Linked DNA regions of Oryzias latipes. The protein of the gene in region 4 purifies or fractionates together with the protein of the main gene of each other region. This does not show direct contact. Links are inferred from orthologs where the notes say so. Each region holds a gene or a part of one and is shown on either strand. Other genes may lie near its edges. The genes, in order: dlgap5, nup50, rcc1, kpnb1 and nusap1.

The links.
Region 1: the proteins of kpnb1 (region 4) and dlgap5 purify together in Homo sapiens (affinity purification with mass spectrometry; 4 studies listed by BioGRID and IntAct, with this or other methods). This does not show direct contact. The link is inferred for Oryzias latipes from reciprocal best matches to the Homo sapiens genes KPNB1 and DLGAP5.
Region 2: the proteins of kpnb1 (region 4) and nup50 purify together in Homo sapiens (affinity purification with mass spectrometry; 4 studies listed by BioGRID and IntAct, counting the BioPlex papers as one, with this or other methods). This does not show direct contact. The link is inferred for Oryzias latipes from reciprocal best matches to the Homo sapiens genes KPNB1 and NUP50.
Region 3: the proteins of kpnb1 (region 4) and rcc1 purify together in Homo sapiens (affinity purification with mass spectrometry; 3 studies listed by BioGRID and IntAct, counting the BioPlex papers as one, with this or other methods). This does not show direct contact. The link is inferred for Oryzias latipes from reciprocal best matches to the Homo sapiens genes KPNB1 and RCC1.
Region 5: the proteins of kpnb1 (region 4) and nusap1 purify together in Homo sapiens (affinity purification with mass spectrometry; 3 studies listed by BioGRID and IntAct, counting the BioPlex papers as one, with this or other methods). This does not show direct contact. The link is inferred for Oryzias latipes from reciprocal best matches to the Homo sapiens genes KPNB1 and NUSAP1.

Annotation. Positions count from the first base shown.
Region 1 is NC_019877.2:3,670,954-3,676,252, reverse strand, and holds the end of dlgap5 (disks large-associated protein 5), read right to left. Parts: coding exon 5,056-5,299; intron 4,966-5,055; coding exon 4,792-4,965; intron 4,707-4,791; coding exon 4,618-4,706; intron 4,526-4,617; coding exon 4,365-4,525; intron 4,278-4,364; coding exon 4,176-4,277; intron 3,612-4,175; coding exon 3,368-3,611; intron 3,297-3,367; coding exon 2,764-3,296; intron 2,677-2,763; coding exon 2,526-2,676; intron 2,356-2,525; coding exon 2,312-2,355; intron 2,207-2,311; coding exon 2,096-2,206; 3' UTR 2,031-2,095; downstream 1-2,030. Other genes in the region: radial spoke head 10 homolog B, read left to right, coding at 104-211, 289-468, 540-609, 716-891. UniProt on the Homo sapiens protein: Potential cell cycle regulator that may play a role in carcinogenesis of cancer cells. Mitotic phosphoprotein regulated by the ubiquitin-proteasome pathway.
Region 2 is NC_019881.2:23,771,509-23,777,603, forward strand, and holds the start of nup50 (nuclear pore complex protein Nup50), read right to left. Parts: upstream 4,215-6,095; 5' UTR 3,809-4,214; exon of another isoform or gene 2,319-3,808; intron 2,260-2,318; exon of another isoform or gene 1,839-2,259; 5' UTR 1,806-1,838; coding exon 1,737-1,805; intron 1,663-1,736; coding exon 1,579-1,662; intron 1,509-1,578; coding exon 1,325-1,508; intron 1,247-1,324; coding exon 629-1,246; intron 546-628; coding exon 461-545; intron 339-460; coding exon 220-338; intron 53-219; coding exon 1-52. UniProt on the Homo sapiens protein: Component of the nuclear pore complex that has a direct role in nuclear protein import. Actively displaces NLSs from importin-alpha, and facilitates disassembly of the importin-alpha:beta-cargo complex and importin recycling.
Region 3 is NC_019874.2:65,747-71,404, forward strand, and holds part of rcc1 (regulator of chromosome condensation), read right to left. Parts: intron 4,111-5,658; coding exon 4,014-4,110; intron 2,339-4,013; coding exon 2,216-2,338; intron 2,121-2,215; coding exon 1,980-2,120; intron 1,431-1,979; coding exon 1,311-1,430; intron 1-1,310. UniProt on the Homo sapiens protein: Guanine-nucleotide releasing factor that promotes the exchange of Ran-bound GDP by GTP, and thereby plays an important role in RAN-mediated functions in nuclear import and mitosis.
Region 4 is NC_019866.2:173,461-179,727, forward strand, and holds the start of kpnb1 (importin subunit beta-1), read right to left. Parts: upstream 3,540-6,267; 5' UTR 3,252-3,539; coding exon 3,212-3,251; intron 2,534-3,211; coding exon 2,475-2,533; intron 1,927-2,474; coding exon 1,744-1,926; intron 1,676-1,743; coding exon 1,475-1,675; intron 608-1,474; coding exon 455-607; intron 387-454; coding exon 327-386; intron 257-326; coding exon 167-256; intron 96-166; coding exon 1-95.
Region 5 is NC_019880.2:1,750,998-1,757,120, reverse strand, and holds the start of nusap1 (nucleolar and spindle-associated protein 1), read right to left. Parts: upstream 3,706-6,123; 5' UTR 3,615-3,705; intron 3,480-3,614; coding exon of another isoform or gene 3,308-3,479; exon of another isoform or gene 3,088-3,307; intron 3,037-3,087; exon of another isoform or gene 2,945-3,036; 5' UTR 2,944-2,944; coding exon 2,869-2,943; intron 2,732-2,868; coding exon 2,669-2,731; intron 2,590-2,668; coding exon 2,446-2,589; intron 1,952-2,445; coding exon 1,810-1,951; intron 1,735-1,809; coding exon 1,642-1,734; intron 1,069-1,641; coding exon 956-1,068; intron 426-955; coding exon 250-425; intron 176-249; coding exon 18-175; intron 1-17. Other genes in the region: oip5 (protein Mis18-beta), read left to right, coding at 3,308-3,479, 4,246-4,312, 4,420-4,542, 4,674-4,755, 4,942-5,037. UniProt on the Homo sapiens protein: Microtubule-associated protein with the capacity to bundle and stabilize microtubules. May associate with chromosomes and promote the organization of mitotic spindle microtubules around them.

The DNA.
Region 1 (5,299 bases), on a different chromosome or scaffold from region 4:
ATCTATCTTCCTTTATGATGTCAGAGAATAAAGTAGTTACTAGATGCTTTAAAAAAAGAAATCAGGCAAAATAAATACAATTTTTCTGCTTAATTCTTGACAGGATCTTAATTTTTTGGACCATCATCTGACCACAGGGAAATTGTGGGAAATGATCACTGCCGGTTACCAAGGAGACCCGGAAAACCTGACGTCCTGTGTGGATCTGGAGGTCTGCCCTCACTGAAGCTGAGCGTCTCGCGCACAAATGTTCAGCGCCTCCTCAATCGTGCTTCATCTCTGTTTCAGGTCACATTCCTGGAGTTTTTTGAGGTTCTGTTGGGCTGTGCTCAAGTCAAATGCCCAGTTTCGGATATGCTGGAGGAGAGCCGGGGGCGTTTCTCGTCTGAGAGACGGGCCAGGAGCGAACAGTCGGAGTCAGACGCCCTCCAGACAGACGCGCAGACTGACAGCAAGCATTCCCAAACGGTCAGACCCTCAGGAACATGAATGTTGATCATGGCGGCACATCTCTCATAACAAATCGCCTGTCGTTTAAGATGGAAGATTCCACTCAGTTTGTGAGGAGTCAGCTGATTAACTCAGAAGATGAGACGCTCCAGCAAACAGGTTTGAGTCATTTTGTACAAACTCTTCCAATCGAACGTCTTCAAGTTTGTGGCTTTCAGCTCGCTTATGAAAGAGCTTTTGCATTTCTAACACGTTTTCTTTCTAGAAGCCACAGAAGAGGACGGGCTCATCCTGCAGACCAGTCAACACAAATTTGAGACGCTTCATCGCTTTTTTAACCACTTTTTCTTTCCGGCGTTTAACCATTACCTGTCAGTTACCAGTAAAACCAAAAATAAGCTCGCCAACGAGAAAAAGAAGACTGAGAGACACGAGGAGTAACAACAGGACTCCAACAGGCCTGATGAAAAATAAAAACAATTCTTAAAATGTATCAACTTACAGTGAATAGATCCTGAAATAAAGCTCAAGATATTTTCACCAGTAGAGAAACCAAACCTTTCCTCTGTTTTCCAGGTAGGTGACTAGATGAACTCATTCATTTTCTAAACCCATTTAGTCCCTTTTGGGGTCACGGGACTGCAGGATTCTATCCTGTGGGTGGCAGCAGGGCCACAAATCACACCCACACCTAGGCACAATTTAGAGAGTAACCAATTAACCTACGAGGCATGTCTTTGGACCATGTGAGGAAGCCGGAGAAAACCCACAGACCACGGGGAGAACATGTAAACTCCACAGAGAAAGGTCTGCCGTTGGTGTTCTGTTTCACGTCCACCAGTCGGGACTTGAACCAGGGCCTCATGCTGTGAGGCAATAGGCTAACCACTCCACACCGTGCAAGACAAACTGCTTCACGTAAATCTGCCTGCAAATTAAAAATGAAAGCTTGCTGCTCGTACCATCTTCAGGGTTATTAAATTTTTTTTTTCATTTTCTATTCTGTTTTTCCCTTTTGGGGTCACGGAGCCTATCCTGGCCACTTGTGGGCAAAGGCAGGCGATGCCCTGGACAGTTTGCCAGTCTGTCACAGGGTAGAATGTCCACAATCACACACCCATTCACTCTCACACCTAGGGAAAATTTAGATTAACCAATTAACCTATGAAGCATGTTTTTGGACGGTGGGAGGAAGCCGGAGACCCCGGAGAAAACCCACGCATACACGGGGAGAACATGCAAACTCCACACAGGAAGGTCCCCCATTGATGTTCTGGTTCAGGTCCCCCAGTCGGGACTTGAACCGGGGGCCTTCTTGCTGTGAAGAAAGAGCGCTAAGCACTGCGCCACCGTGCAGCCCTAAAAAAAAAAAAAAAAAAATCTCAAAAAATAAATTTAAAAAAAACTTCACGGTGAGCGTCTTCAAGGTGCTCAACCCTTTGCTCCTCCTCCTGTGCAGGTGTTTGACAATCAAATAGTGGACATAAAAGATCCACCGTAGGAGCTCTTCGGATGTGCTCTCCCTCTGATCTTTCTCTTCGGGTGGTAAAGTGGGAAATTTAACAGTCTGGACGGTTTGTTTTTTTAAACAAAACTTTATTTAACATGTTTTGTAAAAAGTGATCATAAGACGGATAAAAAACGTTTAGAAGTTAGGAGGGGTGAAGGACATGAGGTCAGTTGGACAGACTGACTGGCGTATTCTGTCCTTCAGATCCGGAGTGAAGAGCAGCAGGGCAGCCTTTGCACTCTGCACCTAAAAAAAACAAAACAACATTGGCTGTTTTAGGAACAAAAAATAAAAATATTGTAGAAGACACAAATAAATGAAAAAAAAAGGGAAAAGTGGAAAGACTTTAACCTGTGGTGACCGAGGAGAAAACACCGAAGACACCGCTGACAGTGCTGTGACACCACGAGAGGGAACAAACATGTTGGCGAAACAGTTTGTTAGGAGATTTAAGACATTAGATTTCATTCATAAAAGAGAGTCAGTCATCCTGCCATGTTTGATGCTGATGAGTGCTAAGATATGAAACCCAGGGCAGCTCAGTACCTGTGGGCATCACTCATACCTGGAAGTTCCTCTGCTTGCCCTCTGGGGCCCTCCATCTCTACATCTGTTGCCATGGGAGACAAAGTCTCTTCTGCAACCGGCTCTCTCGGAGACAGACTGCATCTCTGCGAAGGCTGGAAGTAACGGTCGAAGTCCAAACCAGGAACTTCCTAAGAAAAACACGAGTTAAGTTTTTAAATGAACGGAAAGTCGTCCCGTCGCCATGAAATGACTCTGAGCTGAAGCTGGAGTTTTACCTCAACGACTGAGCTGTTTGGCGTTTGGTACACAGCCTGTGGGGCTTCAGCAGCAGCAGAGGTCAGAGGTGCACACGGCGACAGCACAAAACTCAGGCCGGATGGCGGCTCAGGAACATGGGGGGCGGGAGAGGGGGATTTGCTTGAAGGGATGCAGTGTGCGGCAGAGAGGGGAGTCCCTTCAGTTGGTTCTGCAGAGTTCCTTTCTACAGAAACGGTTGGGGGGGAGGCACCCCCTGCCTTCTGGGCGGGGCTTCCGTCAGATGTCTCCTCACTGGAGGGCAGTTCCTTCACAGGTGAGAAGCAGAGAGAGGCGTTTGCGGGGCCGTCTATTCCCTGGATGTCTGGCTGACACTTTGGCGTTGGAGCTTGCTCAAGGGTGGGGCGGGAAAGCTGAACAGGGGAAGCACGAGAACCAATGGGGGTGCGCTCCAAAGCAAGGGGCCGCTGTGCGGCCCTTCTAGGTGTGCGATACGAGGAGCAGGGGGAGGCCAGAGGCAGCACAGCAGCACTCAGACGGCTGGATCTCCTGACTGAAAACACACACAAACACATTTATAAAAGGAACAAATGAAGCAGAGAACAGTTGGTTTTCCCCCCTCACTTGATGATTTGGCTGGGCTCTCCACTTTAAAGAACCCCCCATCAAAGACCACCGCGTCCAACTTCAAGGCCTCAGCTTGAGGGCCCGGTTTTTGGGAGGGGAGGTCGCCGCTGGTGGAGTCCTGGGACGCCTTCTCTGCCTCGGCTGCCTGTTGTTTGGCTTTCATGGCTGCTTTCACTGCAGCCAGGCGAGACTTTGCGGCGGCGTTGGTTCCTGTAGCCTTTGCCGGTGCAGCAGACGGCTTCTGTCAAAGGAAGCTGTAGGTTTAGTGGTTTGTTCAACACTTGAGTCAAAATCTTAAAGACCGGCTCCAATGAAAATTGTCTTTAAGGTATTTTTTAACATGTTCTTGGAGGACACATTTAAAGACAATTAGGCTCAGGTCTTTATTAAAATCGTTGAGCCCCCTGCTTCACTCCATTCTGATGCATCCACCTGCAGACAAACAGATCCACGAACCTCACTGGAATCTGGATCTAATCTGTACGGCTGGTTGGCTCAGGAATTTCTCGCCCGTTTTGTTGCCCCGCTAATAATGTTAGGTTGGTGTTGTGAGGGGCTGTAAGCTAGCGGGAAAAAAGGGATGATAGGGAGTGAGGGTAGGCTTACTCTGCGCCAACAGTCCCACCCACAACTCGGAGACTAATTTTTAATGATCTACTGCCTCTCTGCAGAAACTATGTCAAAGACAAGGACTAAGGTTTTCTTTTAGCTCGGCTGAAATCGGCATGATCCTGATCAAAATACCGTTTAAAATGCATCAAACGATGATCCTAGTGGGTCTTTAAAGCAACGTTGAGGCCTTTACCTTCACCGTTTTCCTCTGTCGAGGTGGAGGTTTGCATTCCTCCACCCAGGATCGGCCCTCCGCCTCTTTGAGAGCGTCAAACTTCTTGTTGACGTCTTCAACCTGTCAGACACCAGAAGCGCACTTACAAATAATCAATGTCATTTCTCTGCCCTCAGAAACAGTGTCGGGGTCTGGTGAGGCGTTAACCTGGTAATAAACCATATCCCAGAATCCCTGCAGGTCAGTGCAGGTGGTGACCTTCTCCCCTCGGCCCAAATCGCAGTCGTCTACGAGGCCGCTGAACTGCTTAAAACGCTCTTTCATCAGCAGCCTCGCCTGACCCACAGCCGTACGCATGCGATCTCTCACTGTCAGGTGAGAAGGAAAAACAAGCACCGGATTAAAAGTTGCTGATAAAGAGGGACATTTTTATTACTAAATGTCAGTTTAGTCCACTTACTTTCCTCTGGTATGGATTCATCTTCCACTTTAGGCTCCCAGTGGTGACAAAAAGTCGTGAGTCTCACGGTTTCTTTGGCAATTTCCGATCTATATTGTTCACAAACAGAGGGAAACGCTTAAAACAGACAAACTGTTGGGGGATCGATGGATCACCACAAGAAGGAAACGCTACCTGAAGTATGGTACATCGTGCTTCGACTCCAGGGGGCTGCAGGGAGGCGGAGCAGTGACGGCGGCGGAGGTACCACGTGGAGATTGGTGAGACGTTTTAGGGGGAGACGGTTTGCTTAACTCAGCTTGAGGGTGGAGAGTGAACGACGAAACCGGTGGGAGGATTAAGGTTGGGCTGGAAAGTAAATAAAAAAAAAAATCAAAGTGAAGAATTTAGACGTGTGTTTTTATCAGTAAGCTATGAACCAGAGGAACATAAACCAACCTTGGAGTGAGGAAGGCATCAGCTGAGCGAGGAGTGAGGGGCTCAAACTTGAAGGATGACAAACCAGTCGGAGCCTGGAAGATAAAATCCCTGGGAGCAAACGATGGAGGAGCAGCCTCCACAGCAGGAACAGATTCCTCGGGCGGTCGGTCCACCTGCATGTCGTCTTCATCCGCAGATCCTGCTTGCCTGGGAGGAGATGCCATGTTTTCTGCCTCCTCCATGTTTTCCTCATTCAGTTTTT
Region 2 (6,095 bases), on a different chromosome or scaffold from region 4:
ACACGCGTGCAGGGCATGGACACGTGCACCATGACGTTGAGCAGGATGTTACCTGACGGGCGACACAACGTTTACTGCCTCATGCCAGAGCGGGAGGCGCCGCCTGAGCGGGAGGCGCCGCCTGAGCGGGAGGCGCCGCCTGAGCGGGAGGCGCCGCCTGAGCGGGAGGCGCCGCCTGAGCGGGTGACCTCCCCGTCCATCAGAACAAACGGTTCTTACCCAGGTTGGTGTCGGCCCGGATGATCATCTGGGTCTTCCCCTCGCCGGTCCGCTTCAGGTGCAGCGTTCCCACGCCCTTCTCCTTGAACTCCGACTCCTTCTTATAGAAGAGTTTACACCTGAAGGCAACAGACGCCACTTCCTGTTACATTTCAAAATAAAGGTACCAGACTCCAGTACAGAATCTGCGGGTGAGGTCATCGGGATGTAAAGCAGCAGAACCGGGCCCTCGGTAGCGTACTTCTTGGAGTAAAAGGCGTCGTCCTCCTTCACCTCCTTCACCTCCGGTTTGGGAGGCTCCTCCGACTCTGCTTCTCCGGTTTCATCTGCGGACAGAAACCGTGAAGGAAAGCGGGAACAGAAGCAGAGGCCATTTGTCTCTTCGTGGATGGGCGGGGCTTCTGCTCACCTGTGGGCGGGGTTTCCTCTGTCTTTGTTCCGCCAAAAGGCAGAGGGGCTGAAGAGGAGGCGGCTCCAAACAGGGGCGTCTGGCTGGAGGAGGCGCTGGATGAAGAAGGGGTGAAAGAGAAGGCGGGGCCGAGGGGTTTGGACCCCAACGAGTTCAGGACCGAGCCGTCCACCTTCTGCCCGAAGTTGAAGGTGATGCCGGCGGGGGCGGGGTCAAAGCTGGCGCCTGTGAGACGGCGGTCTGCTGAGGAGTCCCTGCTGAAGGAGAACAGAGCAGCTGAGGGAGGCGCTGTGGCACCGCCAGACGATGGAGGAGGGGGGGGCTCCGTGGGGGCTGGCGTCTCCTCAGAGTTGTCCCGCCCCCCGCCGAACTTCCGCTCGATGCTGGCCAGGTGGCGCTCGTAGTCCCTGAAGATGGGGTTGAGGTCGCACAGGGGGTTGTCGTCCACATGTTTGCTGATCCAGTCGCGCACCGAGCGGTTGAGCGCCGCCAGCTGCCGGCTGTACTCCCTACTTCTGCTGCAGGTCGGGGCCGCGCCGGGGGCGGAGCCATTGGCCTGACTGGGGCTGCTGTCGGCAGGCAGCTTTGAAGAGGAGGAGCCTCCATTAAACGTCACACCTGAGAGGAAGACAAGAGGATTCATGACACAGTGGGAGGGGCTAATCCTCAGACGATGCTTGTAATCCCGCCTCTTACTCGCCGCAGCAGAGGATGCTGGGAGGGCGGAGAAACCCCTGAACGCAGGAGCACTCCCATTGGTCGCGCCGCTGAAACCTTTAAATCCTTCTGCGTTACCAAAGCCAGGGGCGGTGGGCTTGGTGGAGGCTGACGCAGAGAACGCAAAGCCCCTGAAGCCTTTGAAAGCTCCTCCCACATCAGCCTGGAGGTAGAAAAAAACAGAGTCAGATCCAGTTCAGAAGGACCGGCTCGTCAGGAGGCCCGGTTCTGACCTCTGAGCCCACATTTCTGCGTTTGGCCTTCTTGATGGGCCGACTCTTCAACACGTCCTCGCTGGCCAGGCAGAAGGTCCCGGCCTGCAGAAGAGCAGCGGCGGCGTTACAGACCAGAACATCCATCACCCTCCTCACCCCCCTCCTCCCCCACTCACCTCCTCCCCCTCCTCCTCCTGATCCCAGTTCCTGTCAGTCAGTTCTTTGTCCGCGATCCTTTTGGCCATCGCAGCAGCGTCAGAACACAAACGCCCGGGAGTCTGTGAAGGCAGCGCGGATGTTTGATCAGAATGCAGACCCTCGCACAATACCTGAATGTGGGCGGGGCTTCAGAGAAACTGACCCTGGGCTGACTATACTGCATCTTTGGTTTGGTTTGCATAACATTACAGATCTTTGGCACAGCGAGTAGCAGGCCAGGTACCAGGCCAGGAACCAGGCCAGGGACAGGTACCAGACCAGGTACCAGACAAGGAACCAGGCTAAGCAGGTATCAGGCCAGGAACAAGACCAGGGACCAGGTACCAGGCCAGGAACCAGGCCAGGGACAGGTACCAGACCAGGTACCAGACAAGGAACCAGGCTAAGCAGGTATCAGGCCAGGAACAAGACCAGGAACCAGGTACCAGACAAGGAACCAGGCTAAGCAGGTATCAGGCCAGGAACAAGACCAGGAACCAGGTACCAGACAAGGAACCAGGCTAAGCAGGTATCAGGCCAGGAACAAGACCAGGAACCAGGCCAGGGACCAGACCAGGTAACAGACAAGGAACCAGGCTAAGCAGGTTTCAGGCCAGGAACAAGACCAGGAACCAGGCCAGGGACCAGGTACCAGACAAGGAACCAGGCTAAGCAGGTATCAGGCCAGGAACAAGACCAGGAACCAGGCCAGGGACAGGTACCAGACCAAGTACCAGACAAGGAACCAGGCTAAGCAGGTATCAGGCCAGGAACAAGACCAGGGACCAGACCAGGTAACAGACAAGGAACCAGGCTAAGCAGATTTCAGGCCAGGAACCAGGCCAGGGACCAGGTACCAGACAAGGAACCACGCTAACCAGGTATCAGGCCAGGAACAAGACCAGGGACCAAGGAACCAGGCTAAGCAGGCATCAGGCCAGGAACCAGGTACCAGACAAGGAACCAGGCTAAGCAGGTATCAGACCAGGGACCAAGTTAAGCAGCTACCAGGCCAGGAACCAGGCCAGGGACCAGGTACTAGACCAGGTACCAGACAAGGAACCAGGCTAAGCAGGTATCAGACCAGGGACCAAGTTAAGCAGCCACCAGGCCAGGAAAAAGACCAGGAACCAGGCCAGGTACCAGACCAGGGACCAGGCCAGTGACCAGGTACCAGACAAGGGACCAGGTACCAGGCTAAGCAGGTATCAGGCCAGGAACAAGACCAGGAACCAGGCCAGGGACAGGTACCAGACCAAGTACCAGACAAGGAACCAGGCTAAGCAGGTATCAGGCCAGGAACAAGACCAGGGACCAGGTACCAGACCAGGTACCAGACCAAGTACCAGACAAGGAACCAGGCTAAGCAGGTATCAGGCCAGGAACAAGACCAGGAACCAGGCCAGGGACCAGGTACCAGACAAGGAACTAGGCTAAGCAGGTATCAGGCCAGGAACAAGACCAGGGACCAGGTACCAGACCAGGTACCAGACAAGGAACCAGGCTAAGCAGGTATCAGGCCAGGAACCAGGTACCAGACCAGGTACCAGGCCAGTGACCAGGTACCAGACCAGGGACCAGGCCAGGAACCAGACAAGGCCAGGAACAAGACCAGGGACCAGGTACCAGACCAGGTACCAGACAAGGAACCAGGTTAAGCAGATACCAGGCCAGGAAGAACCAAGTCAGGTACCACCACGCGGGCGGTCATATCAACAACCCAGTTTCGGACCAGAACATGAAAACGGATCTTCAGATAATCAGTCTACTCATGAGATCCGGTTTTCATTTTCCGACCGGATCATCCACCAGGTGGTTCTGCAACGGTCCAGATTCTGGAGCGACTTCCTGCTGAGCTTCGGGTTCGGTCCGAATCCTCACAGTCTGGCGGGTTTTGTGGTGTCACTATGGTAACAAAATCCGGGCGGTTCTTCTGTTCGGTTCCTCCGGTTGGATTGCCTCACTTCGCTTTGCCGCTGGCCGCTCCCGTTACTTTAACCGGTTACAGTTATAGAGGCAGGATATTTGGTTTACTCACCGTGCTGGTTACCTTTGGCCGAAGTCTCCAAACCGGACCGGAACCCGTTCCGTCGCTTAACCGTTTCCCGCTGAGAAGCTAACCGGGCCGCGCGACAGCTCCTGACGTCACGGCTAGCGCTCAGTGGCGGTCTTTGGTCTCGGTCACCCGAGACCCGAACTCTGTCTGTGAGCGACTTTCCGCCCGGTCTCGGTTCTACAGACCGACCAGAACCGCAGATTCTCGATCGCCTTCAAATCTTGACTCACTCAGTGATTTTGAAAAAGCTTCCTCACGCGGCCATTTTGCACAACGGTACATCCGCGTGGGTGCACGCGCCCCACCTCTCTGCTCATGCGCAGAGTAAAGAGCCTATAGCTGGGATTTGTAGTCGGGTAGAGTATTTATTTATCTCGTTTTTATCCTCCTGAGAACCGAGGAAAAAAAGTGTCTTCCAATTTTTGTTTTTGTGTGATTTCCTTTCTATTTGGGCTTAAAAAAACACCTTACAATTTTAATTTTTAAAAAAATATTTTTTATTTTAATTTCCCAACACGTCCACTGTAGAGGACAACAGGACAACATTTCTGTGAAAATAGAACTCGGGTAGGAAAATCAGAAAAAAGGAGCAGATTAAATCTTTAGAGTGATACTCACCCAAAAAACATTAAATTTTGTTCTAAAACAATAAAACTCTATATCACTTTATTGTTACTTGTTGGACCTTCTGCTACAGAGGAAGATCGACCGGTAAATTGAGAGCTTTGCTTTCTGGCTCAGCTCTCTCCTCACCACAACGGACGCTGCTCCGATCCACCTGTCAATCTCACGCTCCGGTCTTCCCCCGCTCATGGACAAGACCCCAAGATATTTAAACTTCTCCACCTGGGGCAGGGACACTCTACCCACCGAGAGACGGCAAACTACCTTTCTTCGGTTAAGAACCATGGCCTCAGATTTAGCGTTGCTGACCCTCATCCCAGCCGCTTCACACTCGGCCGCAATCCCCCCCCAATGCATGCTGGAGGTCCCGGTTCGATGAAGCCAACAGGACAACATCATCTGCAAAAAGCAGAGAGGAAATCCTGTGGTCTCCAAACCAGACCCCCTCCAGCCCCTGGCTGTGCCCTAGAAATTCTGTCCATAAAAACTATGAACAGAACCGGTGATAAAGAGCAGACCTGCCAGAGTCCAACATGCACCGGGAACAGGTTTGACTCACTGCCGGCTATGCGAACCAAGCTCTTGCTCCGGTCATGCAGAGACCGGACACCCCTCAGTAAGGCTCCCCGGACCCCATAATCCCAGACCACCCTCCACAGGATATGGGGGACGCGGTCGAACAGCTTCTCCAAATCCACATAACACATATGGACTGGATGAGTGAACTCCCGCAATCCCTCCAGCACCCTAGGTTAGGGTGTAGAGCTGCTCCACTGTTCCACGACCAGGACGGAAACCGAACTGTTGTTCCTGGATCTGAGGTTCGACTATGGGACGGACTCTCCTCCCCAGTACCCTGGCATAGACTTTCCCAGGGAGGCTGAGGAGTGTGATTCCCCGGTAGTTGGAACAAAACTAGATCAAAAACAGATCTTCAAAAATGTTATCAATGTACTGTGAAAAGTACAGGATTGAACTCCGGTATTCACAAACTTTGGGGTCATCTTGATAGGCAGGGCGCCCTGCTAGCACAGGTGTAAACCTGTTATGATGGACGTTTAAAAAAAACAAAAAAAAAAATCAAGTTAATTATAAAAACAAGTTATTTTTTCCTGAATCTCATCCTTTTCATCATCTGAAAGCTCCAAATCTGAATCTTCTCCGACTATCTGGCGCAGAATCCTCTCTGCTTCCCTTTTTTCTCCAAACATTATGTGCATTGTGCAGCCATTAAATACATTGAAATGGTCCCGGTGTCCTCTACAGTGTAGAGTAGGATTTGGAAAGGTATCTCTTAATTCCTTAAAAATATACAGGTAAACAAAATGTCCATTATAGAGGACATAAATGACTGGGCCGGGTCTCAGGAGGATATGGAGCATTTTGTGTCCATTCCCTATATAGTTCCTTATTGGAATAATCTAGTTTACCACTTAGAGCGGGAAAAGATCTGTTAACCAATGAAGTGAGAGAAATGTCCTTTAAATGAATCCATACATTCTACCCATCTATTGATGTAGATAAGAACGCCCTGAAGATGCTGTTTATGGCCTTTTTCCACTAAACTCTGGTCTAAAGTTTGTAATTTCATTTCCACATAGACCCAGACTTCCTCCTGTGCTTAGAAAATGTTTGGCCTCATCCAGTCCTTCCCATA
Region 3 (5,658 bases), on a different chromosome or scaffold from region 4:
ACAGCAGGTTGAACAGATCTGAGCCGGGGTGTGAACAGTCCGTGATAATGTTATGAGCCCTAGTGATGCAGCGCGCAGAGTAGATGGGGAGACGGCGTCCAATGATTTTCTGAGCCGTCTCTACGACTCTCTGAAGTCTCTTTTTATCCGCGGCCGTGCAGCTGCTGAACCAAACAGTTATGCAGTAAGTAAGCAGGCTCTGGATGGATGACTGGTAGAAGGTCAGCAGCAGGTTGGTGCTGATGTTGGTCTTCCTGAGGACCCTCAGACACTGCTGAGCCTTTTTGATGATGGCAGTGGTGTTGGCTGTCCAGGAGAGGTCGGCAGAGATGATGATACCGAGGAACTTGAAGGTGTGGACCCTCTCCACGTGCTCCCCATTAATAAGGAAGGGGGTTGGGTCTGCGCCATGTTTCTTGAACTCGACAATGATCTCCCTGGTTTTGCTGGTGTTCAGGGTGAGGTTGTTCACTGTGGACCAGGTTGTCAACTTCAGGACCTCCTCTCTGTAGGCAGACTCATCCCCCCTGGGAATGAGTCCGACCACTGTGGTGTCGTCGGCAAACTTGATGATGCAGTTGTTGTTGTGGGATGGCCTGCAGTTGTAAGTGTAGAGGCAGTACAGCAGGGGGCTTAGCACACAGCCCTGTGGGGCGCCGATGCTCAGTGTGCGGGTGATGGGGAAGTTGTTAATCCAATTGCATGTGAGGGGTGGGAGGCCAAGAGTGAGCAGTTTGTCACAGAGTCTGTCCGGGATTATTGTGTTGAAAGCAGAACTGTAATCCACAAAGAGCATCCGGACGTAGCTCTGCTGCTGCAGAGCTACCTACACTGGCATATTTCGTAGCATTTCACGATAGCAAGCTGAAAGGGTCATGCGCCGAGTTGACGAAAATTTCCCATCCCGACAGCATGAAGTTAAACTACTTCCACTTTCTTCCAAATTCGAATCTCGTGTAAAACTATTTAATTTTGTATGTTTTTTGCATCCAAATATTAAAATTTCATGACTTTACTAAAACTTTGCAGAATATTTTGTTTTTCACAAACTTTTCAAAGACCTAGCATTTTCAATTTCCAAAACTTTTCCAGGGTTTTCCAGGAATACTCAGAAATGCATGAATGGATGTACCGCTTGGGTTATATTTTGTTAAGAGTTAACATTATAATACCCCTAAAAGCTAAAAAATAAAGTTTATTTTGCATGATATAGGCTCTTTAAAAATATCTACTTCATCAAAAGCTTTTCAGAAGATAAAATGCTAAATTCTGTAGAATATCAAATACATTTGGATTCATGTGTTGTTTACCTTCAGAGTCAAGACACAGCGTATGATGTTGTCCTCCAGAAAAGTCCACCCAGGTAGTGGTGGAGTTCTTGAAGCACGTCAGTTTTACAGGAACAAAACACATCTTGGTGCTTTTGGTGCCTGGGCAAATAATTCAGAAATAATCAAATGAAACCTTGGAGTTCAACCAAATGTTCCCTGTTGCTTTTATAAGTTTGACAAGAATTAACAAGCATATTCCAGTTCACGCCATCACTACCGTATTTTCACGAACGCCGGGTGCACCAGGTGTTAAGGCCCGGGCACGTTCAGGCCCTCAGTGCCTCCAGAGTGGGTTAATAAAAGAACCAGTCTCTGTTCTTTTTGAGGAAACCTTTTTACTGTTCTCCCTAACTGTGTAACACAAACTGAATGCGCGCTCACAGACTCACTTGCGCGCCGCGCCTGACCCCCCTCCTTATTACTCCCGCTGGGCGCAGGAGCTGAGAACACACATTGGCTTGTGCTCAGCGCCTGACCCCCCTCCTTGTTATTCACGTGGGTGCGCAGAATGCTGGAGCTAGGGCTGGGCGATATGTTGTGGGGACCTGGGGCTTAGCCCCGCCCATGGCCACTAAGACTCATGGGAAGTGTTGATTCCCACACAGTGAGTTAAGGAGTTAAGGATAAACTCTTATGAGTCAAACTTACCCAGTTGGTGATAGTTTGAGAGGCCAAATCCATAAACGTGTCCTTCTTGTGACACAGCAAAGGTAAAGTAAGCTCCACAGAAAGCATCTATAAAGTGAACTTTCCCCTTCAGCTTCACCATCTGCGGCACCAGGAGTCGCTCTAAAAACCACAGCAAGGTAGAGTAAAAAAATGACATGGGTAAGATTTAACCACAATATTGTTTAGTGTTTTGCTGTTGTAACAACTTCACCTACCAAGACCTTTTCTACCACCTCTGTTTGAAAAATGCTCAGGCACTCTTCCCAGCTGCCCCTGCTCTGCACAGCCTGATGTGTAAAGATTCCCATCCCGTGTCACTAACACCAAGTGGTCGTTTCCTGTCAGAGCATCCGTGAAGACAACAAGGAGACAAACATCTGACAAAGACAGTTTGAACTAGTTTATAACAAGATGATGTACACTTAATGTTTTCATAGCAGTCACTTCTGCTTATATTTATTTGAATGTTCCATTTGTTTTGGTGTAAAGGGACTTGTGCTCAAATGCACTGACACAAAGTGAGCACTTTGGACAGCTCTACTTGCACTTTACAAAAAAAAATTCAAGGCGCAAGTGGTGTTGTACAGCCCACAGGCACTACCAGCCCTTGCCATCAGCCTCTATGTATCAACGCCGCAGGGGTATAGGCACCACCGCCGCTCTCACCACCCATCTTTGAAACGAACTTGCTTGCTTAGCAGTCACGACGCACATCTAACTCTCACTTGTCTTTCTGATAGGCTGTCTGAGCTGCATGTGGATAAAAGTGCTAGCAATACTATCAGCATCATCAACTGACTCAGAAAAACGCCTTACTTCAGATGCTAATACTGGTAAGAGCCACATGTGGTAAGTTGATAGAAAATCCACTTTCTTCAAAACGGCGGCTTTTCTGTTAGTTTTATCTTTATAGCAATCATTTTGTTTTGGTACCACACCCACATTACTTATATGTTTGTATCCAATGTTATATTAATTTGTTCAGTTCTAGTCATGGATACATGCATTAAATGTTCACAGTTTTCCATTTAAACATGTGCGAGTAATAAGAGAATGCCACTTTAGCTAGCTCACCACTCGCACACCGTTAAAAATGTACAACTTCTAATTGCAACATCTTTTCCATAACTGCTTTTAATTAAAGGTGGCGGCCTCTTCCCGAGGTCAAATGTTGACAAAACTCCACTACGCCAAATCTCCAATTTTGGCACAAAATGGCCAACAAACCATAGGTGTGTCGCCATTCCATAAGTATTTCATAACTATTTCATAACTTCTTTCATTGGATATCCCAGACAAAGGTATATTGGTTTCGTAAGTAGATTTCCATTTAGAAAGAAAATTTATTTAGCTGATTCAGCACAATTTTTTGCGACATTTTTTGTTTACCACACCCACTATTTTAACATTGTCATCTAGAATGTTGCATCGTTTTATTCAGCTTGGGCCAGGGAAATGCATATTGAATTTTTACGACACCCCAATAAGAAATGTGCGAGCTAGCTAAGATCGCAACAGTTGCAACTTGCCACGTACAACCATCCAAAATCTACAACCTCCAATTCTGACATTTTTCCACAGTGGCTTGCCATTGATGGCCGAGAAGTTACGAGACTATAGATAAAAATCCCTAGGACGCGTTTTCGTTTGTATCTGAAACTAAGTTTTTTTTTTTTTGAATGTGTGCAGATTTTGGTGAGTTTTTTTGTGTATGTGGTGGGGTCAAATTTTTCGCTCAAAGGCGCAGATAGAAAGCGGAATCATAAGTATTGCAGAAACAATCTACAAGTTTTTGCGGTTAGGACCGACTGTGTCTTTGTATTTTGTGTTTTACTACACACTGGTCATGTCTTTTGGGGCTTATTCCTTTCCTTTGAGTTTTTTAAACCATATAGTTTTTGTCAGTCGTTGCAAAAACAATATGGTCCTTGGAGTCCTTGACCGCTGTGGGCCATAATCAGCCTAGAATCTTTAAATAAAACTTCAAGCAAATTCCCGGGAGGTTTTACTCACCTGAGGCAATTTTTACAGCAGGTTCTGGGATGGGGATCTTCACTGGGACTGGGCATGTTTTCATGGGCTCCAGAAGACCAATTACACCATTATTATCCTATTAAAAAAACAGCACAGCTGAAAATTCACAAAAATTAATAACTGCAGAAAGAAGCCAATACCATACAACAGGGGTGTCAAACTCATTTTCACTGAGGGCCACATCAGCATAGTGGTTGTCCTCAAAGGGCCAGACATAACTTATACATGTAACTAAATGTAATGAAAAATAAACGCAACTCCTCCTTAATGTTAAATTACTCATTTCTTTATTATAACTTTTTAAAGTGACAATTACAGTTGCATAGAAAACATGTTTGCTTTTTAATCTAGCATAAATCCTTTTAAATCTGATCCTCTCAGGTTAGGTTTTATGGACAGTGTTTAAGTTCTAATGTACGGAGCCCGTGTCCTGACATTAAAAAATTAAAATATGTCTCGTTCCCACAGATCAATATCTTGCTCGCACAAAATAATATTCCGTTCCGACAAGATAATATTTCGTTCCCTCGAAATGATTAATTCGTGCGAACGAAATGACTCTGACAGCCAGCGTAATCTTAGGATATTTTTCTGATTTTCATCGAGACAATAATAGATTGCTCATCCTTGCTTTTATTTTTACCCCTATTGAATGCTCACAGAGACACGGAAGTAGCGGCAGAAAGCGGCTTTTAATAAATTTGATCTATAAACATCCTCCGTGTCTTAAATGCAATGTAATAAGACACACACAGACAGAAATGTGAAGGTTTCTGCTGAAAATCTATGACGTAAATAACAGGATAAATGATCGGCTAGTTAGTTAGCGTGTTGCCTACTAACCTTCGAATGTAAAGCAACTGCTAAAGAGTATGTTAATAAAAGACAAGTCCTGAATATTATTATTCCTATATATTCGACCCTAAACTACAATATCAGCTGGATGTCTGTCTACCGGCCAGCCAGCTGCCCGAATGCCGGCATGACAAGCAAAAGAGCTCTGCGACGGAGCTAGGTCCGGTGAATCGTATGGCAAAGCAGCAAGCCTAGGTATCATAAATCTTATATTTTTCTTATATTCATTGAGACGATTATAAATTGATCATTCTTGTTTTTCTTTTTCCTTGCTTGAACGAATGTGGGTCACAGAGACACAGAACTTACCGCTGAAAGTGCCTTTTGCGACCGGACGGAGAGTATATCTGTGTTTATGAATGACTTATGACGTGAATAATAATTGCGTTCGCACGAATTAATTATTTCGAGGGAACGGAATATTATCTTGTGGGAACGGAATATTATTTCGTGCGACCAAGATATTAATTTGTGGGAACGAGACATTTTAATTTTTTAATGTCAGGACACGGGCTCCGTACTAATGTATTGTTGCCCAATCCAATACTTCAAGTCAGATTCCTCCTAATTTTAAGAAATTAAAAACTATTTTAAGAAATTAAAAACTGCTCTCGCGGGCCACAAAATGACATGGCGGGCCACATTTGGCCCGCGGGCCTTGAGTTTGACACATGTGCCATACAATAAAACCCATTAAGAGTCTGAGAAATGTATGGATTAGATTAAATAAAATAAAATAAACTTTAACCAATTTAAAAAGAGATCAAGT
Region 4 (6,267 bases):
GCCAGGTCCATCTCCTCGTCGCAGACATTGGACCAGAACTCGATGCCCTGCAGAGCCACCTCATCGATGTCGCTCTTCATCGCCTCGATGGTGATCTGCGGAGGAGACGACGCATGAGGAGGGGCCGGCTGACGGCGAGCCGCCGGACACGCCCCTCCATCCTCACCGCAAACAGCGCCGGGCCCATGTACGTCTCCATGTACTGGTAGTACAGCGACATGATCTTCACCAGGTTCTGCAGCGCCGCCACGCGCACCTGAACGCAGCACAGAGGCGTCAGCCTGGAGCTGGGGCGCGCTCAGGAGCGTGCACGTGTGCATACTCACTCTGGTGTCGGGACACTGCGTGGCCTCGCACACCACCTGCATGATGAAGTGTCTCTCCGTCTGAAACAGAGGGCAGGGCTCAGCGATCTGCTAACTCCGCCCCCAGCCCCGCCTCCAGCCCCGCCTACCTCCTTGTCAAAGTTGGCCTTGGTGAACTCCAGCGAGTTGAGAAGCGCGTTGGTGGCGGCCAGCTTCACGTTGTTGCTGGGCTCCTCCTTCCTCATGCCCTGGATGATGGCGGTCAGGATCTGGTTTCCGTTCTCCTGCAGCTGCTCCGGGTCCTGAGCACACGGGAAGCCGTTAGAACCTGCCGGGTTCTGACCCGCTTCCAGTCAAATGGAGGAACACAGAAGGTGAGCCAGAACATCCCAAGAACCCCAGAAAGTCCAGTGAGTTGGAACCTTTCCTGAGGTTTCAAACCAGAAAAACTCGATTCACCATTTTAAATCGGCCGCAGCGGCGCCGGTTCTGGACGCAGCGGCGCCGGTTCTGGACGCAGCGATTCTCCGACTTGGTTCTACCGGCTTAACCCTACGAAGCTGAAGAACCTCAGCAGTTTGATTGATCCTCTTTATTGATCTGAGCGTTTAGTCCACGTGATCAATACCTGAGACATCCATTAATCTCTGCTTGAAGCTGAATTTCAGACCTCAGAGGTCAAAGTTCAAATGACCAACAGACACATTTGAATAAAAACTGAAAACAAACTTCCACTTTGTGGCTAAATGTCACTTTTCACGCTGAAACATTCTGCTCTGTTTATTGACGTCTCATGGAGGCGGAGCTTAAATTCAAGTTTCTTCTTCCTTCCTGAAAAATATCTACCCTAAAGAAAAAACTGCAGCGAGATCCTGGAGGTTCTGACAAACGTACGGATCGGGCCGCCTGCTGAGACTCTGAAGGACGGGTTCTGATCCCACAAGAACCAAAGGTTCCTGACGTGATCGGTCCGAACCCGAACCGGGACGCAGACGGCAACGACCGAAGCGTCTGCTGCTTTGAGGAACCGGGAACGTAGAGAAACCAGAGGATGGAGGACAAACCGCCGTCTGATATCGATGAGGCCATGCAGCAGTGGGAGGGGCCCAGAACCCTCCAGAACCTGGAGAGGGCCCGGCAGGTCCCACGTGACGGGACGCGTCACTCACAATGTCCTGGCAGATGTAGCCGATGGCCTCCAGCGTGGACTCCTTCATGTGCTCGGTGCTGGACGGGTCCGTCACGTTGGCCACCAGCTGAGGGATCAGCTCGGGCCACTGGTTGACCGGGATCTCAGCGCAGGCGATGCCGGCGACGCACTGCGAGGCGGAGCTGGGCCGGTACGTCTCTGTGCCCAGAGTTTGGAGGACCTGCAGGAGAAACACGGACCCGGTAAGCTCCGCCCCCCGCTCAGACAGCCGCCTTCAGCAGCACTTACGTAGTTCTTGATCTCGCGGCGAGCATTGGCGTCGATGGCGAGCCATCTCTGCTGGTACTGCGTCTTCACGTCAGGATCTTTGGAGGTCAGGGAGTTCTTCACCTGCAGGCCCGCGGCCACCCGGGCCACCTGCGTGTTCCCCGGGTTTGCCAACACCTTGGAGAGCTCCACCAGGAAGGTGGGCTGGGGGGGGGAGAGAGAGAGAGAGAGAGAACGAGAACATCAGCGGGGGGCCTTCAGGCTCGGACCGCCGTGGAACGAAAACCTGAAGGCCCGCCCCCAAACCCAAAGGAGGTCCTGAGACCGAAGCCACTTCAGGGTTCTAGTCCAGACTCTGCCTGCAGCCAAAATCTCTCCCATCATGCTTTGCAGCATCATTACATACAGTCTGAGCATCACAGTAACGGCACAGGCGGGACTTCCTGGTTCCAAAAAGGTCACATGATGCCGCGTCATGCTAGCAGGTAAACCCACATCTGTTAGCATGACCGGAGGACGGAGAGCAGAAGTGCTTATGGCTTCACTCCCGTGACTGCAAAGCATTGTGGGATTGATCCTAGTCTGACCATCAAGAAGGGGGTTCCGGACCTCCTCTGGATTACTGGACTTTAGGGGAAACACAGGTCTTTGGGGGAGACGTCAGAGCTCACTGAGTGAGTGCGCGTGCGCCAGCTGATCACGGATGCTCCGTTCGCCCGGCCGCCCCGCACCGCCCCGCAGACCGAACTTACCAGGTTCTCCACCGCCGCCTGCTCCAGAAACTTCTGCGCCGCCTCCAGCTCATTCCGATCTGCGGAGAGAGGGCAGAGGTCAGCCAACGCCGGCCGGCCTGCAGCCGCACCGACGCCCGGGCCGGGTCGGCCCGGACATTTCCGCCATCACCTAATCAGTGGCCCACGTGGGCCGCGGACCTGAAAACAGAGCACGATGCGTTCACGGACTGCGTCTGAACCACGGGTAAAGCGCGCTAGATTAGCATGCTAGCATTGCTAAAGGCGCTCGTTAGGAGTCCGTTTGGTTCTCCAGACAGCCGCCGAACCCAGCCGAACCGGCCTTCAACAGCCAAGTGCTGGCAGCCTAACGCGCCCGCTGAACGCTCCCGCGAGGACGCTGAGGCTCGAGAAGGAAGCGGCTGCTAGCATTAAGCTAACGGCTAAAGCAGCCGCCGCGCCGGCATGGCATGGATGGGCAGGGTCGCTCCGGTAACCGGTCCTGCGGCTTCAGCCTGCGCTCCTGCTCGCCACCGCAAACCGGAAACTTCCCCGCCGCTGAGGGCCACAAATTTACCGGACTTTACCTGCTGGTGGCGGGGTTCCAACTGCACCGGCAACGCACGAATGACGAGTCCCGACTCAGGCCGGAGCCTTAGCACCGTTAGCCCTGCCAGCTAGCATCTGCCCGGTGTCCTTCCTGCAGACCCGGACCGCCAACCGGAGCCCAAACAGCGGACGGGCGAGTGGGCGCTTACCCGGAGAGACCGTTTTTTCCAGGATGGTAATGAGCTCCATGCCGCCGCCGCCGCTCTCGTCTCTCACACGTTCTGTAGCCGCGCACCGCCGCAGCGGATTATATTTCTTCCACGGTGCTCAGTCGGTGCCGTCGGGGCGAACTCGGTTCGCTGCGGAAAAGGCGGGAGCTCTCCGGTGTTCGCTCGGTGCTTCTGACTCGGATGATGCGGGGAAATGTTTACGATCGAGGCAAACAGCAGCGCGTCGAAGCTCCGCAGCCGCCCATCCGCATCCTGAATCGTCGGGAGGGAAAGGACCGCGCGTTTCACCCACGCGGAAGGATATCACGCACTGACGTAAAGACACGACGTGCTGCCTTCAGGGGGCGTGGGAGCTTTCAGGAGGCGATTTCTGGATGAAGTAGCGGAGAAAGGCTGTTTTTCTGACACTGCAGCACAACAGCTGCGTCGTTACTGCACGATGGATTTGTGCTTTTATTGAACATTTTACTGTTGGTAAAGATCTTCTGCTGAGTACAGGAAGAGGTCAGAGGTCAGAAACATGAAGTCTACAGCCAAACCTTCTGCAGGACAATGAAACACAAAGAATCCTCTGAACACATTCTTCTAGAGGTTTGGTTGACAAACATGACCGTCACTGTGAAATGTCAAAGTCCCGCTCCAATCCTCTTCTGATCTAAAGTCTTTTCACGATGATGTTACTGTTTTTAGCCAAAATCCAAACATCTGGGTCGTTTTCTTGGACTTAGTTTCTGCAGAGTGCCAGGAGTTCATCAGAAATTCACCTCTGGGTTGTGGGTGGGACTATTGGTGCAGAGTAAGCCTGCCCTCATTTCCCATCATCCTTTTGTTTATACTCTCCCCCTCTAGCGTACAGCCCCTCACACCCCCAAGCTAGCATTAGCGGTGCAGCAACATCAGATCCATCCATCCGTCCAGTTCAGATCCAGATTCCGGCTCAGACCAGGAAAACTGAGACCTTCATGGATCTGTTGGTCTGCAGAAGGGGGCGGAGCCTGGAGGCTTCTATGTCACCGCTCAAAGCTTGATCAAAGGACGTTTTGTCATCCGCTCCTGATTCACAAGGATCTGAATAAAGAAAGGGTCAGGAAGGCCGATCCAAAGTCCAGCATCAGAAAAACACCACAAACATCATTTTCACGGGTCTTTGACTGCTTCATCTTCAAACTCAGGGAAGAATATTCTGGATGGCGCTGAAGCACCATCTCCACTCCACGAGAAGGTGCTGCTGACCCCCCAGTCCTGAAGGAGCAGCGGCGTGGGATTCGCCTTGTTGCTGCAGCCGCGTCATCTCAGGCAGCTGGAGGACGGCAGCAAACAGGAAGAGCTTCCCCGTGGCGTTTTTGCAGGAAATGCGATTCGTCTGGTGATGGTTGCTCTTCATCACACAGCTGTCTGAAACCTTTTCCTCTATTTTCAGAGCTTAGTGTTTTTTGATTCTCCTCAGTTCCCTCCAGAAAGATCTCAACCGATCCACTTCAGGATCCTGTCAGGAGGATCTTCCAGCCAGGCAGTGACAGCATCACTCAGACCCTCTGCAGCTTTGATCGGTCCTCAGCAGAGGCAGCAGAACCTGGGACAACATTCCAGAGTTACTGAACGTTTGAGTGACAGCAGCTAAACCCGGAGGTCTAAGAGCCCCAGACGGTTTGTGGAACCTAAGAAGAGATTTGATGTAGAACCTAAACGCATAGAACTGGATTCCAACTGGGATCCAGTGAAGAACCTGCAGGGATGTTGGATCTGCTGCTGGTTCAAAGACCTGCAGCAGACGGAGCCGCTCTAGTCAGCTTCGGCAGACCATAATAATCCAGAGGAGATGAAACCACGTTTCAGGCTCCCGTTGGTCCTCCACGGCGCCCAAACGCCTGCCGAGGTCATGGTTTCTGACTGACGCCGTCTTCATCTTCGGCAACAGCATCTTCATCGTTGCCTAATAATAATATTTGTATAGCACCTATTAAGATAAAAATCACAAAGTGCGTCACAATAAAACACAGTCAATTTAAAAAATGAAAGAAAATGCTATTTTAAAAAGAGGTTTTTAGCTGCTTCTTACAGAAAACACTGAGTCTGCAGATCTGAGGCTGAGAGGAAGGGAGTTCCAGAGGATGGAGCCACTGCTCCAAAGACTGTCACCTTTAGTCTGTAACCACCAGCAGACCCTGGTCACATGACCTCAGGGACCTGCTGGGAGTGGACGGCTGCAAAAGGTCTTTCTGTAGACCGGTGTTTGGTTATTAAGAGCTGTGGATGTTAAAACCAGGATTTTAAATGCAGTCGGTAGCGGATGGGGAGCCAGTGCAGCTGCATTAACAACAGAGAGACGCGTGAAAACGTAGATGAATTAGTCAAAAGCCTGGCAGCAGCGTTCTGGACATCCTGGAGCCGTTCTAGAGGTTTTTGCTCAATCATGTGAAGATGGAGTTGCAATAATCAGGACGAGACGATACAAAAGTGTGGATGAGAATCTCCATCTCAGAACACAATTGGACTCAGTTCAGCAATGTTTTTTAAATGATAAAAACAAGAACGTACAAGTGACCCGACATGAGAGTCAAGGGATAAAACCGGGTCTAGAGTGACCCCGAGGTTCCTGACAGACGGCTTGATAGAGGAAGCAAGTGGACCGAACCACTGGACTATCTGGAGGAGGCAGCTGTGAGGAGGACAGACTAGGACCTCAGTTTTAGCTTCATTTAGTCAGATATAAAATGAACAATAAAGGTCCCAAAACTGAGCCTTGTGGGACACCAGAGGTGAGGGATGCAGAAGAGGACTTAAACTTGGAAAATACAACAGAGAAAGATCTACCCGTCAGATAAGAGGAGGACCAGTTTAGAGCGGAACCAGATACCCCGACCCAGTTTTTCAGCCTGTCCAGGAGGACATAGTGGTCGACATGTTGAAGGCTGCTGTCAGGTCCAGCAGTAGCACAGAGCATTTTCCTGCATCACTCTGCAATGACAACCTCATTGATTTCTGAAGGCTAACTTCTGCTGAAAATCAAACCTGGTGAACAGGAAGCTCACGCA
Region 5 (6,123 bases), on a different chromosome or scaffold from region 4:
GGAAGACGTAAACGTACTTGGAGTTTTCTGAGCGGAGAACGTGGAAGGTCTCCCGGTGTGAGGCCCCGCCCCCGCCGCCGCCTGCGGAGTGGAGGAAACCAGGCAGAGCGACATCCGTGCCGGCGTCTTCAGCAGAGACCCTTTAAACTCGTTGTCGCGAGTAGCTTCTGAAAACCTGCAGACGGGACGCCAGAGACATTGTCCAGAAGATCTGAAGGAAGAACCGGACTGACTTGAGGGAGGACTCACCGAACGTTGATCCTGCGAGTGGAGAGCACAGACGGTCTGAAGGGAGCAGCGCTTCCTGCAGGTCTGCTGGACGGAGCTTTGCTGGCTGAAAGCAAAGTGTGTCTGCTCTTTTCCTCAGCCGGCTTTTTCCCTGACGGAGGGCTGAACATGCTGGAGCCGGCTGCATTTTTGCTCTGCTGGAAACAAGCAAAAAAGCAGAACTGTGGCTGAAGTCTGGTGGTCTCAGAAAGCTCTGGAGTTCAGCTGATGTTCACCACCGAACAATCAGGTTGTGGTGGTTTGATATGAAAGGAAAGAAGCCAAAGTTTCATCTGATGTCTGGACTTCTTCTGGCTTCCACCTCCAGCATAGGATGAAACACAGAAACCAAAGGATCTGTTTGATTTGAGAGAAATATTGTCCTGGCAGCATTTTGAATCGGTACAAGTATCACCAAATGAACTATCGTGATATTTTGTCGAATCGATTTTTTCTTCCACCCCCATACTAAACCTCACAGAGGATCTGACTGAGTGGTTAGAAGATTTGCACTGGGATGCCTCCCTAATGGAGCAAAACATGTCCTGAACAGGAACCCTCCAGGCTGACCCCGACCCCCTGTAGAGGTCACCGGGAACAGACCAGCATCCTCCTGGGGGGGGGGGGCATGTGTCAGACCCAAGTGCATTTCCAGCTTTCAGAATAAAAGCATGGCTGTTTCCAATACCTTCAGCTCTTTGACAGGATTCTTGAGGGTGTCCACCTTCCTCTTCTTACGCTCAACGTAGGTGTCGATGGACTCCATCTTCTTAAAATGAGCCTCGTGGAGCTTTTTGAAATCTGGATGAAAGACATTTAAATGATGAAGGGGAACGAATCAGACTCACATGATGGAAACTGTTTTCAAAAACCAAAGACCTTCACAAAGAAAAATAAATGAACAAAATTAGAAAACAGACAAAACTGTGCACCCAACATAATGAAACAAACGAGGAGAGAAATAGAAATCTGCGGTTTGAGATGTTCTTTCAGGGAGCAGGACGTTACAATAATCTGTTTAGGTGGAAGTAAGAACATCAGCACCTCCTCCATGCTGGCAAAGTCATGCAACGTTTTATGTTGATGAAATTCTACTCTAGATTCTTTTTTTAAAATATGGAATATAAATCAGCCCAGAGTCAGAATAAACACCCTGATATCTCACTATTTGGAGAAATGATCGATTTCTTGTCTTCAGAACGTCAACTAAAAGCTCGGGGTCGTCCTGTTGAGCCATAGAGCTTCTCTGCATTCATGACTTCCTGTCTAAAATTCAGTTTAAAAATCTGCTTTCTGACTCCTCACCATCAGGAGATGAGCGTGTTTATCTGTGCGTCATCAGCACGGCCGTGAAATAAAGAAAGAAAAACTTACTTGGAGTGAGCGGTTTGAGCGCAGCCTTCTGCTGAGATCCACGATAGCGAGGGATCTTTCCAGCTTTGCTCACTTTGGGTTTTGGCTCTGGTTCTGGACACAGTGGTTTTCATGAATAAAAGGTACCCCAGTTAAGAAGCGGAGAGCATAAACCCCACTAGTGCACACCTGTCTCCACGCGTGCAGGTGCTTCCACGCAGGCGTCAGGCTGCAGCTCCTCCTGAGGCTCAGGTGAGTTCTGCTCAGAGGACGCTCGTCTCTTTGAAGCTCTCCTGGTCTTGGAGGATGAGGCTTCAGGTTCAGCATCAGCCTGGTAAGAAAAGAAAACCCATTAGAGGTTTTAGAGGACCAAACCTCCAAAAACCTCATAGATTCCAGCTAAAAATCCAGCTCACTTTGGACAAAATGATCTTTGGGATCAACAATCGTCTGTTAATCTTAGTTCTCTTATTCATACCTCAAAATGGAAAAAAGTATGGCCTAATTTCATTTTATTCAAAAAAAACATTTGCAAGCAAATTATCTTAATGCTTTAAAATGTATGCATAACAAAGGTGCAAATCTACTGGACATCCTCAGCAATTTTGATTTATTCTGGGATGTCTGTTTACAAATGTGTGAGTATAAATGAGTTATTGTTTATTGATGGCATGATTTTGTAAAATGTTTTCCCTCAGTTATGTGTACTACTTACAAAGTCATTGTTAATGAAGACAATCTTATTGCCTGTTTTGTCATAAGTTTGCATATAAAGTTTTTTTTTAAATAACTCCAAAAGTCACGTGACGTCGTATTTGCGTGTACCCGTGCAGCCTTTGGGGTCACCGCAGCCCCGCTGGTGGTCTTCCCCGAGTCCCTGCGTCCTCTCCCCCGACGCGCGTTGACAAACACGCGTGGGCTGGAGGTTTCTTTGACTGCATCCTGATCGGCATGACTGACGCGATCATCCTGTCCACGACACAAACAAGCCTTCATACAAAACTGCAGTTCAGGCTAAAGCAGCGATGTGTTTACGAGTGCCGGTTACCTTCCCCCCCGCCGCCTCCTGCTGCTTGTAGTGCTGTTTTACAGCCTTCAGGAGTTTGTTTGCCTGTATTGAGACAAATTATGTTAACACAAGTCACGTATTAGACAAACTACAGTAACAGCGCCCTTCGTTAGTAGTTGCCATATCCCGTAATAATTTTTCGTTCAGGATAAAGTTATGAAGCTAAATGTTGATCTTGCCTTCATGTTTGCTTTCAGTCCGAGCTGTTTAGCGAGACTTCGCAGATCGGCATATTTCATGGAGTCCAAATCCATCCTGACAAGGAGTAAATCCAGAAAAAGAATCCCGTTTTTATCCACAGTCAGATTGAATTCTGCGCGAGGCGTCCGCGGCTGACGGTTAAAACCAGATTTGAAACGGGACAAGAGGAGGGCTATGATTGGCTCTCAGTTTGACCGGAAATGGTCACAACCAATCAGAGCAAAGCGTGTCGATGCCTTTCCGTTTAAAAAAAATATTTTAATAATATAAAGACAGAAAAGCTTCACAAAAATCTGTTTTATTTTAGATTTTGAAAATTGAATTTGAATCAAAAATTCTTACAGGGAAAAAAAACGTTTATAGATAAAAGTTCGTAACTGCTCGGCGTGGCACGCGCGTCTGGGAAACCCGCTAAAAATGGAGTTTGAGAAAAGCATTTTAAATAAACGCAGCGACGAAGCGAAGCCTGGGACAGCGGCAGACGACAGACATCTGATGACCTTCCACTGCCAGCACTGCTACACCGTCCTGGCGGATTCCCTGGATGTTTGTGGTGAACTGCAGAGTCTGGACTCGGTCATTCTCTTAAGTAGGTTTGTCTCCTTTGTTTTGGTCACACAGACGTTCACGGCAGAATATTAACTAGCAAGCGAGTAATTTGTTAGAACTGTGTGTTAAAGGGAAAATATAGTTAAATTACCAATTTATTTATTTATTTACTTACTTGTTTGCCTGGCTATTTGGTGATCTGTGATTTGTAAGTTGTTACTGTTTTGGGGGGAGATCTTCCATGACAGGTAAATGTCTCCACTGTGGTATCAATAAAGTTAAATTCAAAGCTTTATTGATCCGTCGGGTTTGACAACAGTAAAAGTAGAATTTATTTTTTAAATTAAAGCAAGTTTTTGCCACCGAAGACGCTTTTAGGCAATTAAAGCACGCGATAACAAAAGTAATTTTGTTTTAACTACACTAAATATTTTTGACCAACTGTCCTTCATAAAAATAAAAAATATTAAATTAAGAAAATAAAAAATCAGCATTTTCTGATGAATCCCCTGAGTTTATTACCAAATATTATATTAACAAAATGTAATTTAGTAACAAATGTTCAAATGTCTTGTTGCTCTAATCAGCCATAGACGATGTTTTCTCCCATTTACCAACAAAAAAGCTATAATAACCTGTTAAAATAGGTCTCAGCTTTACAGAATTAAGGGGATGTTGTTGTTATTTACTTTTGTAACCCCCCCCCCCCCGTTGTTTTTTTTTTTTTTTTTTTTACTAAATTGTTCTTTACTATGAATACATTTATAAAAGAAATACAAATTTTATTTCTGCTTTTCTTTCCTCAGAAGTTACAGACGATGTTGTGGTTGGAGATGCTGTAATGTCCAAAGATAAAGGAGAAATGACAAACTGGTGAGTAGATTTTAAGGTAGAACCTGATAAAGATGATAAATACAGGACATAATCTGTCTCCTCTGAATGTTGAAACCCTCCCTGATCTCCACTGGTTTGTTCCTCAGCATCTCCAGTCCTCTTAAATGCAGTCACTGCCACCTCGACGTGGGGAAGATTCTCCACTCGAGCCCACCGAGCCTGGCTCCAGTTCGCTCCCTCTTCCTCCTGGACAAATCCAGCATCAGTTGGTGAATTTTCCCTGATCCGCTCTTTCATGAATAAAGGAGTAAATCAGAGCTGAGACTTTCTCCCTTTTCAATGGTAGAGATGAGAACACTGAGATGAGAAGCACTCAGAAAAAAACTATTTTCTTCTGCAGTTACATCCTGAACAGCAGCTCCATGGTGAAGGCCTCTGGACTCTCATTTGATCTGCAGCCTGTGAGTGAAAGACTGGCAGAGGTGAGAGCTTCGGGGAGGATCACGTGTGTGTTCTTTCTCAGTAAATGGGAGCTGTAGACACAGATCTGTCCTGCAGGGGGCGCCAGAGCAACATCCAAACAGAGATTGCTGTTGGACGGTTGACTCCTGGGATCATGTCGTCAGAACTTTCTCCTTCAGAGCTCACCTGCTGCCTTTTGTTCACAGGTGAAGCAACATTTTGAAGCTCACTTGGAGAAGATGTCGATCCTGAAGAGCAGATTGGCTGACATGAGTATTATCAGGAACAAGAAGAGGAGGTAGTCGTCTGTGGAGCTGGAGATGCCTTTAAAGTTTGTGGGTCAGTTTTTGGTTTAAAGGTAGATTAGGGTTGGCAGAGAATCGGCTCTGAACCCCAGATTACACTAAAGGTTGCCTTAAATCCTAAAGTTGTTTGTCTTTGTGTTTGATAATTACCCGGTTCATACCTGACCTCGGTCCAGGTGATCTTAATGTTCTTTTTTTTCAATAAAGTTAATGATTTCCAGTTTGAGTTCATCCATCAGATGTGTGAAGTTATTCAGACTGAATGTTTTTTTTTTGAAGATTTGATGTTTTTCCCCAAATCCTCCCTAAAAATATTCATTTTTTTTCTGTTCTTCTCACCTGGATTCTCTTCTGGTTTGCCGTACTTTAGCAGGCAGTTCCAGTCGGGCTTAAGTTAAAAGGACTTCTTCATTTCTCTGTTTGAGTTTTCCTTTGAGTCAAACAGGATTTTCTTTCTTTAACCCTTGTGCTATCTTAGATGACCCCCCCCCCCCTTCCATCGACGTGTTCTCCCTACCATGACAAAGGTGGATAAAGGTGGAAAGACTTCATGTAATCCATGGACACCAGTGAAGATCACAAATCATTGAAGAAAAAAGGTCCAGAGCACTGTCTAGCACTCCCAACGTTAAAGTGCATAGGATAACACAAGGGTTAAAGACCCACTCCGACCAAAATTGTGTTTTTAAAATGTTCTTGTAGCATTTTTCTCACAATGGAGATAAAGAACATTAAAATAGGGGGGAAACTGCATGTATGAGCATTTATTCAAATAATTGAGAATCAGGAGCAGATGCTAAATGGCTGTAAAAGACGTAGAAAATATTCTAGGCGGGTCCTAAGCTCCTATGCAATGGAGAAAGGGAAGAGGGGCGGGGTTGTTCCACACCAACAGTCCTGCCAAAACCCAAGGGGCAAACTTCTAATGAACTCCTGCTGCTCTGCATCCAAGAAAACGATTGATATCTATTGTGGCTAAAAACAGCATCGTTATTATGATCAGGTGACCGGAGTGGGACGTTAACCAACGGGACGTCCTTCACTACAGGAGATAGAAGTGAAAAGAACAGCGACACACACCAG